Linked DNA regions of Caenorhabditis elegans. The protein of the gene in region 2 purifies or fractionates together with the protein of the main gene of each other region. This does not show direct contact. Each region holds a gene or a part of one and is shown on either strand. Other genes may lie near its edges.

Region 1 (3,600 bases), 4.8 Mb from region 2:
CAATCATTTCATTCGGATACCGCTTATTACTAGAAAATGAGAAGAAATGCAAGCATTGATCGACAGCAATGAAGCACACTTGAGAACGATCATCTCCTGGCATTTGATCTATATTGATGAGAAGTTGCTCGGCAAATGTGTGTAAATAGCCTGATTGAATTGCTGCAGCACTAATATCAATCACGAATACATAGACAGCAGGTTGAGGTGGACGTAACTGAAATCGCTTGTTTAAATTTAGAAAAACATCGTTTAAAATATGAAAATACCATGTATTCCGATGGAGCAATAAATTCAACCGTCGCATTTTGAATTTCCGGTCTGTTTCGAGGATCTCCGAATGCTTTTGTCACTGGGTCCCAGCAGAAATCATCAGGCACTGAAAACAAAAAATGGTTTTCGCATTTTCTCAATTTCACATTTTTCAGTCAACATACGGTCGTTATTTCTATTACAGAGATTGCATTTCCAGTGTCGATGATCAGGAAGATATACATATGGATTAATATATGTCCGACAATACCGACAACGTACAATATTCGATGTTTGTATAATATTGAGATTCTTAACATCTCGGAACGGATGAAGTGTTATTGCAAATGGTAATCGACTCTTTTTCAGTAGTTCTTCTGTTTGTGGAACTTGGGCGAGTGTTGAGCGGAAAATACTGAAGAGAAAATTATTAATATTTCTAATATCTGCAATAGTAACGATTCTGGATTTTTGCTTGTATAGACTCAAAATTTGGTCAGATGAACCAATTTCTTGATGCGAGATAATCGATCAAAATATGCAATAAAGGATTTAAACTAAATAAAAGTCAAATTCCGACAGCTGCGATTCGAGATTTTAGCTGATATCAGCCAGTAGCGAAGGCATTTTTGAGAAGTCTCACTACGAAATTCGTCCATTCGGCCACATTTTGAGTTTATTTATACAAACAGAATTCCTTCTTCAAGAGAAAATCCTCACTTTGGATCAACATGAGCATTCGGATTCGCGACTTGTTGAGGAATCTGAATCTCGATATCTTCAAAACCAAGTTGTTGAACATTTCTTTCAGCAATCAGATCAATTATATCATTGCGATACCCGCCCATTTGTTGCTGAGGACCAGGAGCTCCGCTCATGTTCTGAAAATCAACTTTATACGGGGAAATAACAAATATGAATAAACCATTTGTCCAAATTGCTGATTCATATTTTGCATTTGAGGTTGTGGGACTTGTGGTTGACCATACTGTGAATTTTGCTGTGGCTGGGGAGGATATCCTTGTTGCTGTGAAGCCGGAGGATAAGCAGCTGGTGCTTGAGGCCGTGGAGCCATTTGTTGCTGATAAGAAGGCGTTGGAGTTGGTGCCGGTGGAGGTTGAGCAGCAGGAAATGGAGCAGGTCGGGCTGAAGCAAGTGCAGATGGGATCGGAGGCTGAATACTTGGAGCTGCTGAACCAACTGATGGTGGTGGAGTTGGAAACGCTGGCGGTCGGGACTGAAATAAAACATTCAATTCTTCTGTATATGCAGTATTAACCATACCACAGCTGGTGGTGGTGGAGCATGATGGCCGTTCATAGAAGGCTGAGTAGCGGGTGAAAAGGACGGTGGTTGATGAGAAAATCCTGCAGAATGAGCTGGAAAAGCTGAAGCTGCAGTTGGATAATTTGGCGCAGCATGGTTATATTGATAACTTGGTGCTCCATTTGGGATTTGAGATACGGGTTTCACCTGAAAATAGAAAATTAAGGAAGGAAATGGAAATATGAAAGTAAAGATGAGAATCAATACATACCGGCTCTTGCGAAGTCGTTGCAGTCGGAAAAGGAAACGGATTGGCTGCATAATTGGGAGGAGCATTATTTAACGGAGCCGCAGATGGTTGAGAAAACTGACTGAATTGTTGGACGTGTTGATATTGTTGATTCTGGTTTTGACCGTACGCCTGCGGAAATCCAACGTTTCCCGGCGCTGTCGGTATATTCGACATCCGTCGATAGCTCGTGTAACCCGCTGAAATTGTATAATGAAATTATATTGCGAGAAAAGAACAAAATAAAACAAGTTCACAACGGTAGATAAATATTTAGCTGACGAGACGAATGAACGTGGCGAAAGAAATTTAATCAATAACTTCAGAGAGTACGGTAGATTTAGATGGGTGCAAACAGAATGACGAACAAATGCACAACTAGAGAAAATCAGTGATCACATTTTTTTCTAATTTTTTTTGCGCGAAAAACCAGCATACTGCTGAACAAATATAATTTATTTTTGGCGCAAATATCGTTTAAATGTTCACTTCAGTTTTTAAAGTCATTATTTTCATTTTCAGCAAAGTTTATAGCGTTTAATAATTAATTGCTCTTGAAATTTGCCTAACTTCGCAACGCTTCGAAATTTCGCGACTCTCTTCTCACCGGCGATCTTTAGAATAGATTTTACAACGTAAACAAAAATATTTATGACAATATTTTCTGATTTTGCTCGAGTATCTCATTGAACACGAAGAATTACGCCATGGAAGGCGACCTCAAGCGCGCGATGCACACAGACACTAGCGTCTCGCGCTCTTTCTCTTTGCCTCGCTGGAAATTCTTTTTCATTTTGCCTTCTTCTCTCGCCACACATTGGCGTCGTCGGTTTCTGCTTCATTGTGAAACGTGGATTTTGCGCTGAAATCAATAAAATCACTGTTTTCTCGCTTTCTCTTTTACTCTTCACTCTCACTCTCAATTTCCACGTAATCCTTGAAATAATTCAGAGGAGCGGAACAAAAAAGAACATTTACTGTACGAAAAATAGGAGAAGAGGTGGAAGAATATCGCCGAGAGGGAGGCCCTCGTATGAACAAAGCGAGAGAAGATCAGCAAGATGTTAAATAATTTTCATAGCGTTCAACACAGGTTTTATTAGTAAGTGAGAAGAAAGTTCCAACTCAGCAATTGGATCAAAAATCGATAATGGAGGGTGTTTTGAGTGTTTTAGTGTAATATAAATGAAAAATTGTCAATTTGATAAAGGTTTCCGAATGTGAAAGCTTCCCCCGAAACTGGTGTTCCTGGATTCTGTAAAAAGTGCGGTTGGCAGAAAACATTGAATGCATACCGTAGTTAGATACGCAGGCATCGCCGCGTTCGCCCGGCCAAGCCTCTATTGGAGCGACCGCCACCACCGCAGAGTGAGAGCGGACACCGTTCTCCAATTGTGTTTCTTAAAATAACAATATTTTGTTACTATTTCAGCCAAACAATCACTTCTGGCGGATGACCGGTATTTTAAATGGTCAGAGTGTTAAAAAGGTACTTTTTGAACCGAAAAAGTGTCATTTAAATGTATCTTGTGTCAATTCTCGAGAGAAATTCCACACAATTTAGTTAGAAAAACTCAAACTTACCTTTTAATAATTTTAAAATCACATTTTGAAAATTTAATTAAATAAAATTACTATTTAGATCAACATAAAAACGGTTTTAATTTTTTAAACTGAAATTCAAAATTTTAAAATTAAAATAAAATAAATTCATAAATTAAAACTATCTGTTGACTTTAATAATTTCAAAAAAAAAAAATTAAAAATGTGGTTATGCCAGTGGCCAGCGTGTA
Region 2 (11,414 bases):
TTTTTGAATTGTTTTAATTTTCAGAGATGATTCTGAGACTTCAACAACCCCACCAGGTCCATTTGATGCCAACCTCCTCCGGTTGACAGTCGCTGCTGCCCAATCGAGCGATCCCGCTGAGCAGCTGACTGCTGTTCAACAAGCCCGTAAAATGCTATCAACTGATAGAAATCCACCAATTGATGACTTGATTGGCAGTGGGATTTTGCCTGTCCTCGTTCAATGCTTGTCCAGCACGGAGTAAGAATTTTCATAAGGTCGCATCAAATTACTGTAAATTTTCAGTCCAAACTTGCAATTTGAAGCTGCATGGGCCCTTACCAACATAGCATCTGGTACATCAGAGCAAACACAAGCCGTCGTGAATGCCGGAGCCGTTCCTCTCTTCCTGCAACTCCTGTCATGTGGAAATCTGAACGTTTGCGAGCAATCTGTCTGGGCTCTTGGTAACATCATTGGAGATGGACCACATTTCCGTGATTATTGTCTCGAACTCGGAATTCTCCAGCCACTATTGCAGTTCATTAACCCGGAGATACCTATTGGCTTCTTGAGAAATGTCACATGGGTTATTGTCAATCTCTGCAGGTGCAAAGATCCGGCACCAAGCCCAGCTGTGGTTCGTACGATTCTTCCCGCCCTCTCACTTTTGATCCATCACCAAGACACCAACATCCTCATAGACACCGTTTGGGCCCTTTCTTACCTCACCGACGGTGGAAATGAACACATTCAAATGGTTATCGAAGCTCAAGTTGTTACCCATCTCGTTCCACTCCTTGGACACGTTGATGTTAAAGTTCAAACAGCAGCACTTCGAGCTGTAGGAAATATTGTGACTGGAACCGACGAACAAACACAACTTGTGTTGGATAGCGGAGTAAAAATTTTCATTTATGACTTTTCCAAATCTTAAATTTCAGGTTCTTCGGTTTATGCCAGGACTTCTCGCCCACTACAAAGAGAAAATAAACAAAGAGGCTGTTTGGTTTGTCTCCAACATAACTGCTGGAAACCAACAACAAGTTCAAGACGTATTCGACGCCGGAATCATGCCAATGATTATTCATCTTCTTGATCGAGGAGATTTCCCAACTCAAAAAGAGGCAGCGTGGGCTATTTCCAACGTTACAATCTCTGGCCGTCCAAATCAAGTTGAGCAAATGGTAAAGCTTGGTGTCCTTCGTCCTTTCTGTGCGATGCTCAGTTGCACTGATTCGCAGATTATCCAAGTAGTGCTTGATGGAATTAACAACATTCTGAAAATGGCTGGAGAAGCTGCCGAACAGGTGACATCAGAGATTGAAGAGTGCGGAGGTCTTGACAAGATAGAAAATCTTCAAAATCATGAAAACGAGGACATTTACAAACTGGCTTTCGAAATTATCGATAACTTCTTCAGGTAGGAGTCCAATTATATTTGATAAAAATCTTCAGAGTCCGTGTGCGAATGTTTGGTGTATACGTTTTTATATTTTCAGTTCCGATGATGAGACTGGCAACGTGGAAGGAGCTCAAAGTTCTGCTTTTGGAGGCGACGTTCCACCAGTTCCTGATGCTCCAAACGGAGGATGGAACTTTGGAAAGTAGATCTCCATGATTCCTTTAATCACAAAATACGTTTTGTCTTATTTCTCGTAAACAATTTCGCATGCCGTTCCCATACAAATGTTCATGTAGTTTTCGTCTTACTATTTTTCACACCTCACTTTTTGTTAGGTTCTCGTGTATTTTCATCTGACACGCGAGTTCCTAAGCCAGCTTCTCGGAAATGCAAGCTCTCTTTCATGTGAGATTTTGCACTTTTTGACCAATTGAGTTTGCACGTTCTTCTACAATCGATTGTCAATTATCTCATCCTTTCTTTATCTCTTCGTTGTTTCTGTACCATCAGTGATTTGATTAACATTTCACTTTTTCATCCACCATCTTTTTTCCATTGTGATTAATTAGTTACAATGTCCCCGCCCTCTTCTTCGTGTGTGCGAGAGTGACTGTTTTATGATAATATATTTCGATTTCTTTTTAAAGTGAGTGTGTGAGTTGTGCATTTTTGTTGAGTTTTGTTTTCATTTTTGTTTCCCATTCGCGCCCGTTCATTGCCCGCGTCCCCCACCCTCATCCTTTTATCATTGTTACCGCGTCGTTTTCAAATCTCTCATCATTTTTCCCAGTCCCTCCAATCCCCACGGTCCCCAGATTTTCTCTCTAAAAGCGAGTATTTTCATTTTCTTCACATGTTACTTTTATTAATTCTTTATCATATACATAATTTCAATTTCTTAGAACTTCTGATCCCCCTAGTTTGCTCATTTCCTAGTCATCCATCATCATTCTCGATTTCATTAGTTCTCGGAGAATCTCGTTGATAGGCCAAAAATTCCAATCACCCTGCTCCTCTTAGTTCTCGTGGACTCCAGTATTCTTTTTCTTGAAACCCCACCCATCCCGTAAGGCCTTTTTAAAGGTATATCGAGCCGTCCCTCTTCTCATCATCCATCTTCTTTTCTCATTTTCCCTCTCATCTTCCTCATCCCATTTTCCTTTCTCCCGTTTTGCTATTCTCGATTGTCTCGACTGACTGGCCAATATTCCCTTTACCTGGTGTGTGCTCTCATAATAAATAAATCAAATTTATTTGTTAAAAGTTGTTGTAAAACGAAACAATAATACACGATTTTCATTTATTTCATGACAAACTCAAATTTTCCGGTTTCTTCCAACAGTGAGCAAAGTTGTTCGGGGTCCACATTATGTTGAAGAGAAAGTTCGTCAATTGAAGTTTTTCCATTACACCGTTTCAGGAGACTTAAAATTGTATATTATTAGATAGTATTAATTGATTAACTTACGTGTTGTTGCCTGGGTTTGCAACACAAATAGGATATTTAGAAAGTTTACGAAGAAACTGATGATGCATTCCAAATTGTACAAGTCGCTGTTCATCAATACCCATCGATCTTGGTTTCTCCAGATCGGCCCATTCTGCTAGATTGTTGCCGCACTGAAAACGTAGTCGATTGCTATCAGATTCGTCGATCGGAAGTTTAGGTCCCACCACTTTCATGCTCAAATAAAGTCGGAACACATCCGAAAATTCTGGAGTTCGCGTTGGAATTTCTGAGCCGTCTGCACCGATTTCCGTTTGAATTTTCACAAACTCAAGGCAGTCATTGATTTCCGTTTGATTTTTGTAAAAGTCGTGAACTCTTTCAGTTGCCACATATGTATTATAGTAGAGAAACATTGGAACAAGACTGACACATTCGTAGAAGTGTAAATTACGAACACATCTGGCGACGAGGGATGGATCAAGTTCGAGAATAATAGCAATCTCTCGAACTGTATTGATTCCATCAATTTGAGGAATAATCTTCTGTGACAGAACATCCATTTTTTCTATGAGATGATCGGTAAGCGTCACTTCTCTTATGAACATTGGAACCATATGATAATCGATTTCTGGAGGTTCACATCCACGATACAATGGGCATAATTTGAAATATAATGTCACAATCTTTTCATCTTCAAGACTGACTTCAATCACACTTTCGCCTAAATTTAAAATCTTGTTATTCATAGAAAAATACAAAGTTTACCTTTATTCGACAGATCATTGAACATTCTCTCCATTACATCAAGAACCTGATCCTTGTATTTTGGATTTGTGAGAAATTTGTATTCCATCTCCAATTCAATCAAATATTCCGCGCATTTCTGTACAATTGGCTCATACATTGTTTCTGCAGATGATGTCATGTCAACGATGAAAGCCATATCGAAAGTGAAACGACCACGTTCGTAGCTTTTGTGATCTATTCCAACGGGAAACATGAGAACTTTGCAGCGAAGAGATTTGATGGTCAGTGAAAATGAGTTACGGAACATGGATGGTTTTGGAATGATCAAGCCTGAAACATAAATTCATTTTATTATTTGGATTAATATAACATACCTTTTGTGAAGTGAAAAGTTGCCTCAACTTTATTATTTTCTTTCGGAACAGAATGTTTGATGATTGCACCTAAAGTGTTATGAAATTCTGCCAACAGAATTCCGAGAAGTTGTGGGGCATCATCAAATGTATAATGACCGAATCGACCACCACTTGAATCACCTGTTGCAAAAGGTCCTGCTCCGAATGTCGCAAGAGTTTTTTGACGCTGAACCATTGTTTAGCGTTTTTTAGTCTTATTGTAAGCGGTCCGCTTGATGACAAAAATCCGGGTAATGGCAATAAAAATACCAATAACTGCTCCAATAAAGCAACCGACGAGGGAAGGAAGAGGGTATCGCTGTAAATTAATTTATTACACATTTGACAAGAAGTGTATGCGCGCATATATGCGTGATTACCTGCCACCAACGATCCCAATCCAATGGATGAACAGCAGCTGCTGCCCAAGCACCCAAAAAAGCGAATACGGAGTTGAACAGTAAAACTGATTCTTTTGGTGTTGGATTGCCTTCACACGAAAATAATTGTAGGATCACTTCAACCGCTCGCTCTTCTGAATCGAATAGGAAGACGGCAGGCAGAGCAGAGACGGCCGTTAGAGCTGTCTGAAAACAGGAAAAATAAATTATTTTCATGTGCTTAATCTTCTCATACAGCAAGTACAGCGGTTGCAATTATATCAGAGAAAAACGGAGCGCCGAAAAGGACAGCGAGGATGTAAAACACCGCCCAAGAAAGAGTCACGAATCTGGCGGCCACGGGTAGACTAAGCATATGATGAAAATCCTGGAATTTTAGAAATAACAATGTTAACAGGTCTCAAGAATGTTTGTAATCATGAATGATCAATATTTACGATAGAATTAATTTACTAATTAGAAAATAAAAAAGTTATTTTAAAAAACACCATTACCAACATTGCGCGTCAGTTCCGATGTTTCTTCACGGTGTTTGCGTACTTATTGTTAAACATTATTTTTTTTCTATTTTTTTTAACTTTAATTTAACTTTGAAAAGCTTTCGGGGATACTTATTCCTTTTATTATTTATATTTTTGCAATGGGCAAAAAATCGAAGAACTCAGTCACCACACAAACTCAATGGGTAAGTGATCTCTACTATTAAAATGGAGTGGCCGTCAAAACTTCAGAAAAGACTCAAGATTGACTTTGTCGAAAGGAAAATAGACAAGGATGATGTATTTTTTGAAGAAGTCAGCGACGAGCAATTAAATGACAAAATAATTGTTCCTCTTTTCACAAGCAGTGGAACCTTTGAAGAGACTATCGGGATCTTAATTCAATGGCAAGTAAGTCTAGAGATTTTTTTACATGATAAACTTTCAAATCATTCAGGAATATTTGAAATCTCGTTCCGACAGACTCAGCGAAGTTTTCCTATCGAAAGTCAATTCATATTTTGAGCACATTCGAATCACGCTTGCTCTACCGTTTGATGAGTCGAAATGGGCAGAATTGGAAACACTGACAGAAACTGATCTCAACAAAACACCGATTTTTATCAACAATATTCGAACATCTACAGTCTCTGTCATACTCCATCTCGAAAATCTTATTAAATCGTTCCATCTGAATGTAAAAAGTGCAGAAATTTTTCCATTCGACTCTGACTCATTTGGGCTCCCACCGATCAATTGCAGGAAGATTTTGAATCCATTATTATGGATGAAAGCAGGAATCGAAAAGTTGATTCAAAATAATTGTCAATGCGACCAACCTCCAATTGTTCCACTGATTACATTGCTAGATCTTGCGCCAAAGGAAGGTCATTTTCAGGAATTAGCTATTGCCTCATTGTAAGCTATTATTATTAAATATATTATTTACATCTTATTATTTCAGCTTTCTAGAGAATACTGCCCATAAACTTGACTATTCATGTTCTGATGACGAAAAAAAGTTCCTGGATCAGATAAAGATGAAGTTTGGAACAACAAAAGTTGACAAATTAACAATGGTTTTACCGGATATTCTGATGGCATACAGCGAAGAGCTTGTGGAAAGAGTGATGCCAGTGTCATATTTCATCCCATTTGAACTCTTCCGTATGATGCTGCTCTCTTGGCAACCAAAAGTATTGAATCTTCGATTAAGAACAGAAGCATGTTCTTCTATTGAAGATGCTGCAAGAATTGAATGGGATGACGAGGATGTTTTCACTTCTACCACTCTTTTCAACTGTCCCTTGTTTGATAGATGCGAACCAGTGTGTCTTGGAGACGAAGAAATTATTTTGAATTGCAAATTGATCGTTGATTGCTCAGGAAGTCGTCTTTTTGATCCCATGTTCAACGAGGGGAACGTCTATACTGCTGGCAGAGATTTCTTGGTGTTATTCCCAATGCAAACGATCATATTGAAAAGAATTGTACCATTGAAAGTTGGTTCATCAGTGGTAAGTTCCTCTTTTGTCTTTCTAATTGGTTTTTTTTCTCATTGCAGAAAGTTCAATTGAAAAAACAAATCGACTACATAGTGAACACATTCTTCTTCAACGCCAGCGAACACCAAGATCGAGTTGTAAACTATGAACTCACATTTACCAACTCTACAGATGTTCAAATGAGTGCAGTGAAAAGATGTATACCACAAGTCGCCAATGGACGCCAAATTGGAGTCAATTTGAATGTTGAGCAAGAAACAAGAGATTTATTCACTGATCATGGCAATTCTTGCCCTGGAAGACATATGTTCGCCAGTTTTTTCGATTCAGAAAATCAGGTTATTGTAGATCTAAAAGTAGTGCTGGCCAATTAAGTTGTGCAGTATTATTATTTCCTTGTTGATTCAGTTGGTTTTCAATTCTGAGTACTCTTTCGTTGTCTGTTCTGTTTATTCTCAATGCTGTTTTCTCTGTTCTTTGTTTCTCTGCTCTTTTTTCCTTTTTCAACATAAATTTATGTGTATCCCGGCCGTAGGACGAGACTTCACTTGTTTCTCTTCCACTTGTTTCAACTTAAACGCGAATAAGTTTTTCAGTGCTATTCTGATTAGTGTGTGCACTGAAAACTGATCAGTGAGCGAGTTTGTAAGTCGTTGCTAGGCATTTTCATCTGTGGACAGCAGAGAGCGCGCTTTCATCGATCTTGATTCATTTCTCACGCTGCTGCTCTTTTCATTTCTTTTTTTTTGCTCTGAGATCGACGAGAAGTGAAAAATGCCACTTTTTGGAAGCAAGAAAACCGATAAGAAAAGTGGAATGAATGAAGCACCAAGCTATCCGAAGCAAAGTGTAAGTTTACTTAACTTTAAATCATGAATAATTTGATTTTTTTAGGCCGTTCCACCTCCTCCGCAAGTTGCCCACTATCCGATGCCAACATATCCACAAGGTCCGCTTGTTCAACAAAACGAGTTCTACTTCACCTCCGCTGGCCAACAACTCCAATCGGTTCCAACTACTACAGTCGCATTTGCAAGAACCGATCTGCCTGGGGCTTACGACAACTTCTGTGAGGGATTCCTCGACGGACCAGACTTCTCAAACCGAGTCCCAGACAGGAACATTCCCCCTGCTCCAGGATCGTATTACTTCTACTCGGTAACACACATTTTTAAATTTCAACTTTACCATACCCACTTTCAGCATGGCAACAGCTCAACCCCGTCGTTCGCCCCTCCCTACTGTGCTCCACCACCAGGTCCATCTTCATCTGCTCCACCAACACTCCCGACGTCTTCAGGCAACCTGCCGCCACCTCCAACCTACGAACAGGTTCTCTCGCAGGAAGTGAAAGAAAAACTATGATAATTTCGCTGAAGATTTTTCAACATTTTCAACACTGTATTCCCTTTGCATCTGTGATTGCTGTTTGCATACTAAATCATAATTATTCTGCGATTTCATTTTTTGTGCTCTTAATTTAGTCATTTTACCTGAACGATATTTTGATCAAACCACATTTATGCATTTATTTTCTCCCAAGACTACAAATAAGCCACGATGTAGTCTTCCTGAAGGGCAAAGTGCAAAAAACGAATGCTATCTGCGTCTCCCCGGTTTCTGTACTATCTCAATAACGTTTCGTTATCTTCTCTTTCTCGGAGAGTAGTCCAGCAATCTCTGTGTTCATTGGCTGTTATTTGTGGCGAACCCTCACAGCAACGACGTGGTCGGACACACAAACATTTTCTTCACTTATTTTTTTATCTTCCTTTTGTTGTTGATATCTTCGTAAACATTCGTTCCCACTATCGATCTAAATAGGATAAAAAAGCTTTACTGTTCTTTAAAAACTCCTAAAAATCCAATTTTAAATTTTATATTCGAAATTTAGCGTTTAAAGTGCAATTTTCTTTGATAAGATAAGTTAAGATAAGTTAAACATTTCTTACAAGGCCTGACAGGGTTTTCTTAAATTCAGAAATGTATTAACTTGAACAAAACTAAATATTATCACCCTTTTTTTAAATAACAGGATTCAGGTATTTTTCTTAAATCAAAAAACCACTTAATTTCTACATTAACCTTACTTAATATCGGAAAATTTCAGCCATCAGATCGAAGTTTTTACATTTTATTTTTCAGACGCATTGAAATGTCGGACGTTCTTCTGAATTTCATCGCAGGAGGAGTCGGTGGATCATGTACCGTAATCGTCGGACATCCATTCGATACTGTCAAAGTCCGAATTCAAACTATGCCAATGCCAAAACCAGGGGAGAAGCCACAATTTACCGGAGCTCTTGATTGTGTCAAACGAACAGTTTCCAAAGAAGGATTTTTTGCCCTCTACAAAGGAATGGCAGCTCCACTTGTTGGTGTTTCTCCACTTTTTGCAGTTTTTTTCGGAGGATGTGCAGTTGGAAAATGGCTGCAGCAAACTGATCCAAGTTAGTACTAAATCATCATGGGCAAACAAATAAATTGAAAATATGAGAATTAATCTTACCATTTTGCATTTCAGGCCAGGAGATGACATTCATCCAAAACGCTAATGCTGGAGCTCTTGCTGGAGTCTTCACAACAATTGTGATGGTTCCTGGTGAACGAATCAAGTGTCTTCTTCAAGTTCAGCAAGCTGGATCTGCTGGTTCTGGAGTTCATTACGATGGTCCACTTGATGTTGTCAAAAAACTATATAAACAAGGAGGAATTTCATCAATCTACAGAGGAACTGGTGCCACTCTGCTCAGAGACATCCCAGCTTCAGCCGCTTATCTTTCAGTATATGAATATCTAAAAAAGAAATTCTCTGGAGAAGGAGCTCAAAGAACATTGTCACCAGGAGCAACATTGATGGCTGGAGGACTTGCTGGTATTGCCAATTGGGGAGTGTGTATTCCAGCTGATGTTCTCAAATCTCGATTACAAACAGCCCCTGAAGGAAAGTATCCAGATGGAATCCGTGGAGTTTTGAGAGAGGTTCTTCGCGAAGAGGGTCCTAGAGCTCTGTTCAAGGTGATTTTTTTTAAACGATTGGGACGATGCAAGTGAATTTTTCGTCATTTCTCGACACATTTACATACATATATACTTTACCTGATTTCTAGCTACAATTTGTATAAATTTCAGGGATTCTGGCCAGTAATGCTCCGTGCTTTCCCTGCAAACGCTGCCTGTTTCTTCGGACTTGAACTCACGTTGGCTGCCTTCCGTTACTTTGGCATTGGTGGACACCCAACACCATCTACAGAAGTTGTTCCACTCCCACACGACGAGTAAATTTTTGAAAATTCTCATTTTTCTAATTAGTTTATACCATATTTATTTGATATTTTTTTCATTATTCAAAAACATTTACCCGAGTTGCCTTCTATTTCCATGTTTTGGGCATTTGTATGTTGTGTATATTTCTACATGAAAATCGTAAATTTTTTGATGAACTTCAAGAAGTGCTCAATGTTGAATTATATTTACCGTGTTCAGCTGTCGCTATACAATTTTTTTTGAGAAACAGGTTCATTAAATGCAGAACAATTATCGAAACAAAAGAGTACAACGGGTATGGTGAAAAAAAAACAGGGGAACATTTAAGATAAGACTATTCTAGATCGATGACGCTCTGAAGACTGCCAGGTTCACTTTCTGAAACTATTTTCACAATTTTAAACGATTGGGATAGTGATGATTGGAGTTAAATTGAATTTCATTAATTGAAAAACCTACACTAAATAAGAGTATTCTGGAAATGAGTAGTTTTAATTTAGAAATTCTTTTTTAGAAAACCTAACCTTTCTGGAAGAAATTGTATTGAAAAAAAGTTTTAAAAACACCGAAAATTATAATCATCAATAAAAATTTCTTTTCAAACGTTTACTATATTTACTACTCCTACAAAAATTTGGAAAAAAACAAAATAATGCTGAGAGCGATAATATTTCAAAACCATCCAAAAGAAAGCTGAAAATTCTAATCTAAATAATGACATTTACCTTTATTTCCTGTATCTATAGACTCGCTTCGAGCACCTTCTTCAGAATCAGTTTCATCCTGATTATCAAAAATATCATAGTCTGAATCCATCGAGCGTGTAGGTTTTCCGCGTTCAGAATTATCCAGACGACTTTGCTTGCTTTCTTTTCCATTCTAAAAATAACATTGATTTTACAAAATTATATACTAAAAATCTGTAATTCTGTCGTTCCAGATTTCAGAATGCTGGGAAGATTAGCAGTTCGACAGGCTGTCCGTTGCAGTAAAGGTAATTAATTTCCCGTTTTCTAGGAAATTTTGTAATTTTACATAGCTTAGAAGTAATTGCAAAAAAAAGCAGATTTTGCAGATTTTGGTCATGTGAGTTGATAAGACTGACAGCTGATAAATTCAGTACTCTGAATTCGTGGAAACAATAATATTAAATGATAAGTGTCACTTGATCAACTGTGCACAACTATACTACTGAATATTGTGAAATCTGGTCATCTAGATATCAGCAATAGCATGGTCAGAATAATAACATCCTAGCCGTTAAGATCAGCACAGGAGCCAAAAATACGGTACCCGGTCTCGACACGACAAATTTTTCTTAAATACAAGGTCTGCCCCTTTAAAGATTACTGTAGTTTCAAAATCTCGATTCTGTAACATTTTCATCCTGTTTTAAACCTATTTTTTGAACAAACACATCAATTTTATTGGAAAACAATGAGAAAAACGAGAGATTGAAGTTACAGTACTCCTAAAATGAAATTTTTCGTGTCGAAACTCGGTACCGTATTTTTGACTCAAAAATCGCTGTTTCGCCTGTTGTTCATTCTAACATTTTTACAGCATCCATCAAGCCCGTCAACACTCATCAGCTTTGCCTGCGCAATTTTTCGGCCATCCGACGTCTTTCATTTGTCGCCGGCGCCCAGTGCCGTCCCTACCACACAACAGCAAACATGCTCCATCGCACGGCAAGAGGCGAACACGGGTCAGTTCTGCGTCCCGGTGTGTGTATGTGTTTTTGATGACAATAGTGTCTCGAAGTGCCAACCTCTAACTATCCTTT

What was found.
Region 1: the proteins of F49E8.7 (region 2) and sec-24.2 fractionate together in Caenorhabditis elegans (co-fractionation; one large-scale study listed by BioGRID). This does not show direct contact.

What each region holds. Positions count from the first base shown.
Region 1 is NC_003282.8:12,358,786-12,362,385, forward strand, and holds the start of sec-24.2 (uncharacterized protein), read right to left. Parts: upstream 2,008-3,600; 5' UTR 1,985-2,007; coding exon 1,790-1,984; intron 1,726-1,789; coding exon 1,537-1,725; intron 1,490-1,536; coding exon 1,178-1,489; intron 1,134-1,177; coding exon 973-1,133; intron 668-972; coding exon 438-667; intron 380-437; coding exon 270-379; intron 218-269; coding exon 1-217. Other genes in the region: ZC518.8 (Glutathione S-transferase), read right to left, coding at 2,979-3,062, 3,103-3,123.
Region 2 is NC_003282.8:7,549,967-7,561,380, reverse strand, and holds F49E8.7 (BACK domain-containing protein), read left to right. Parts: upstream 1-5,015; 5' UTR 5,016-5,017; coding exon 5,018-5,062; intron 5,063-5,108; coding exon 5,109-5,267; intron 5,268-5,313; coding exon 5,314-5,774; intron 5,775-5,820; coding exon 5,821-6,373; intron 6,374-6,420; coding exon 6,421-6,735; 3' UTR 6,736-6,889; downstream 6,890-11,414. Other genes in the region: ima-3 (Importin subunit alpha-3), read left to right, coding at 25-240, 286-880, 924-1,402, 1,482-1,590; nprl-2 (Nitrogen permease regulator 2), read right to left, coding at 2,685-2,808, 2,853-3,555, 3,600-3,911, 3,956-4,172; F49E8.8 (Phosphatidylinositol-glycan biosynthesis class F protein), read right to left, coding at 4,176-4,295, 4,357-4,563, 4,613-4,732; F49E8.6 (Early nodulin-75-like), read left to right, coding at 7,136-7,210, 7,256-7,519, 7,565-7,726; Protein dif-1, read left to right, coding at 8,517-8,811, 8,886-9,379, 9,494-9,643; oef-1 (C2H2-type domain-containing protein), read right to left, coding at 9,963-10,012, 10,354-10,507; pam-1 (Puromycin-sensitive aminopeptidase), read left to right, coding at 10,577-10,622, 11,192-11,336.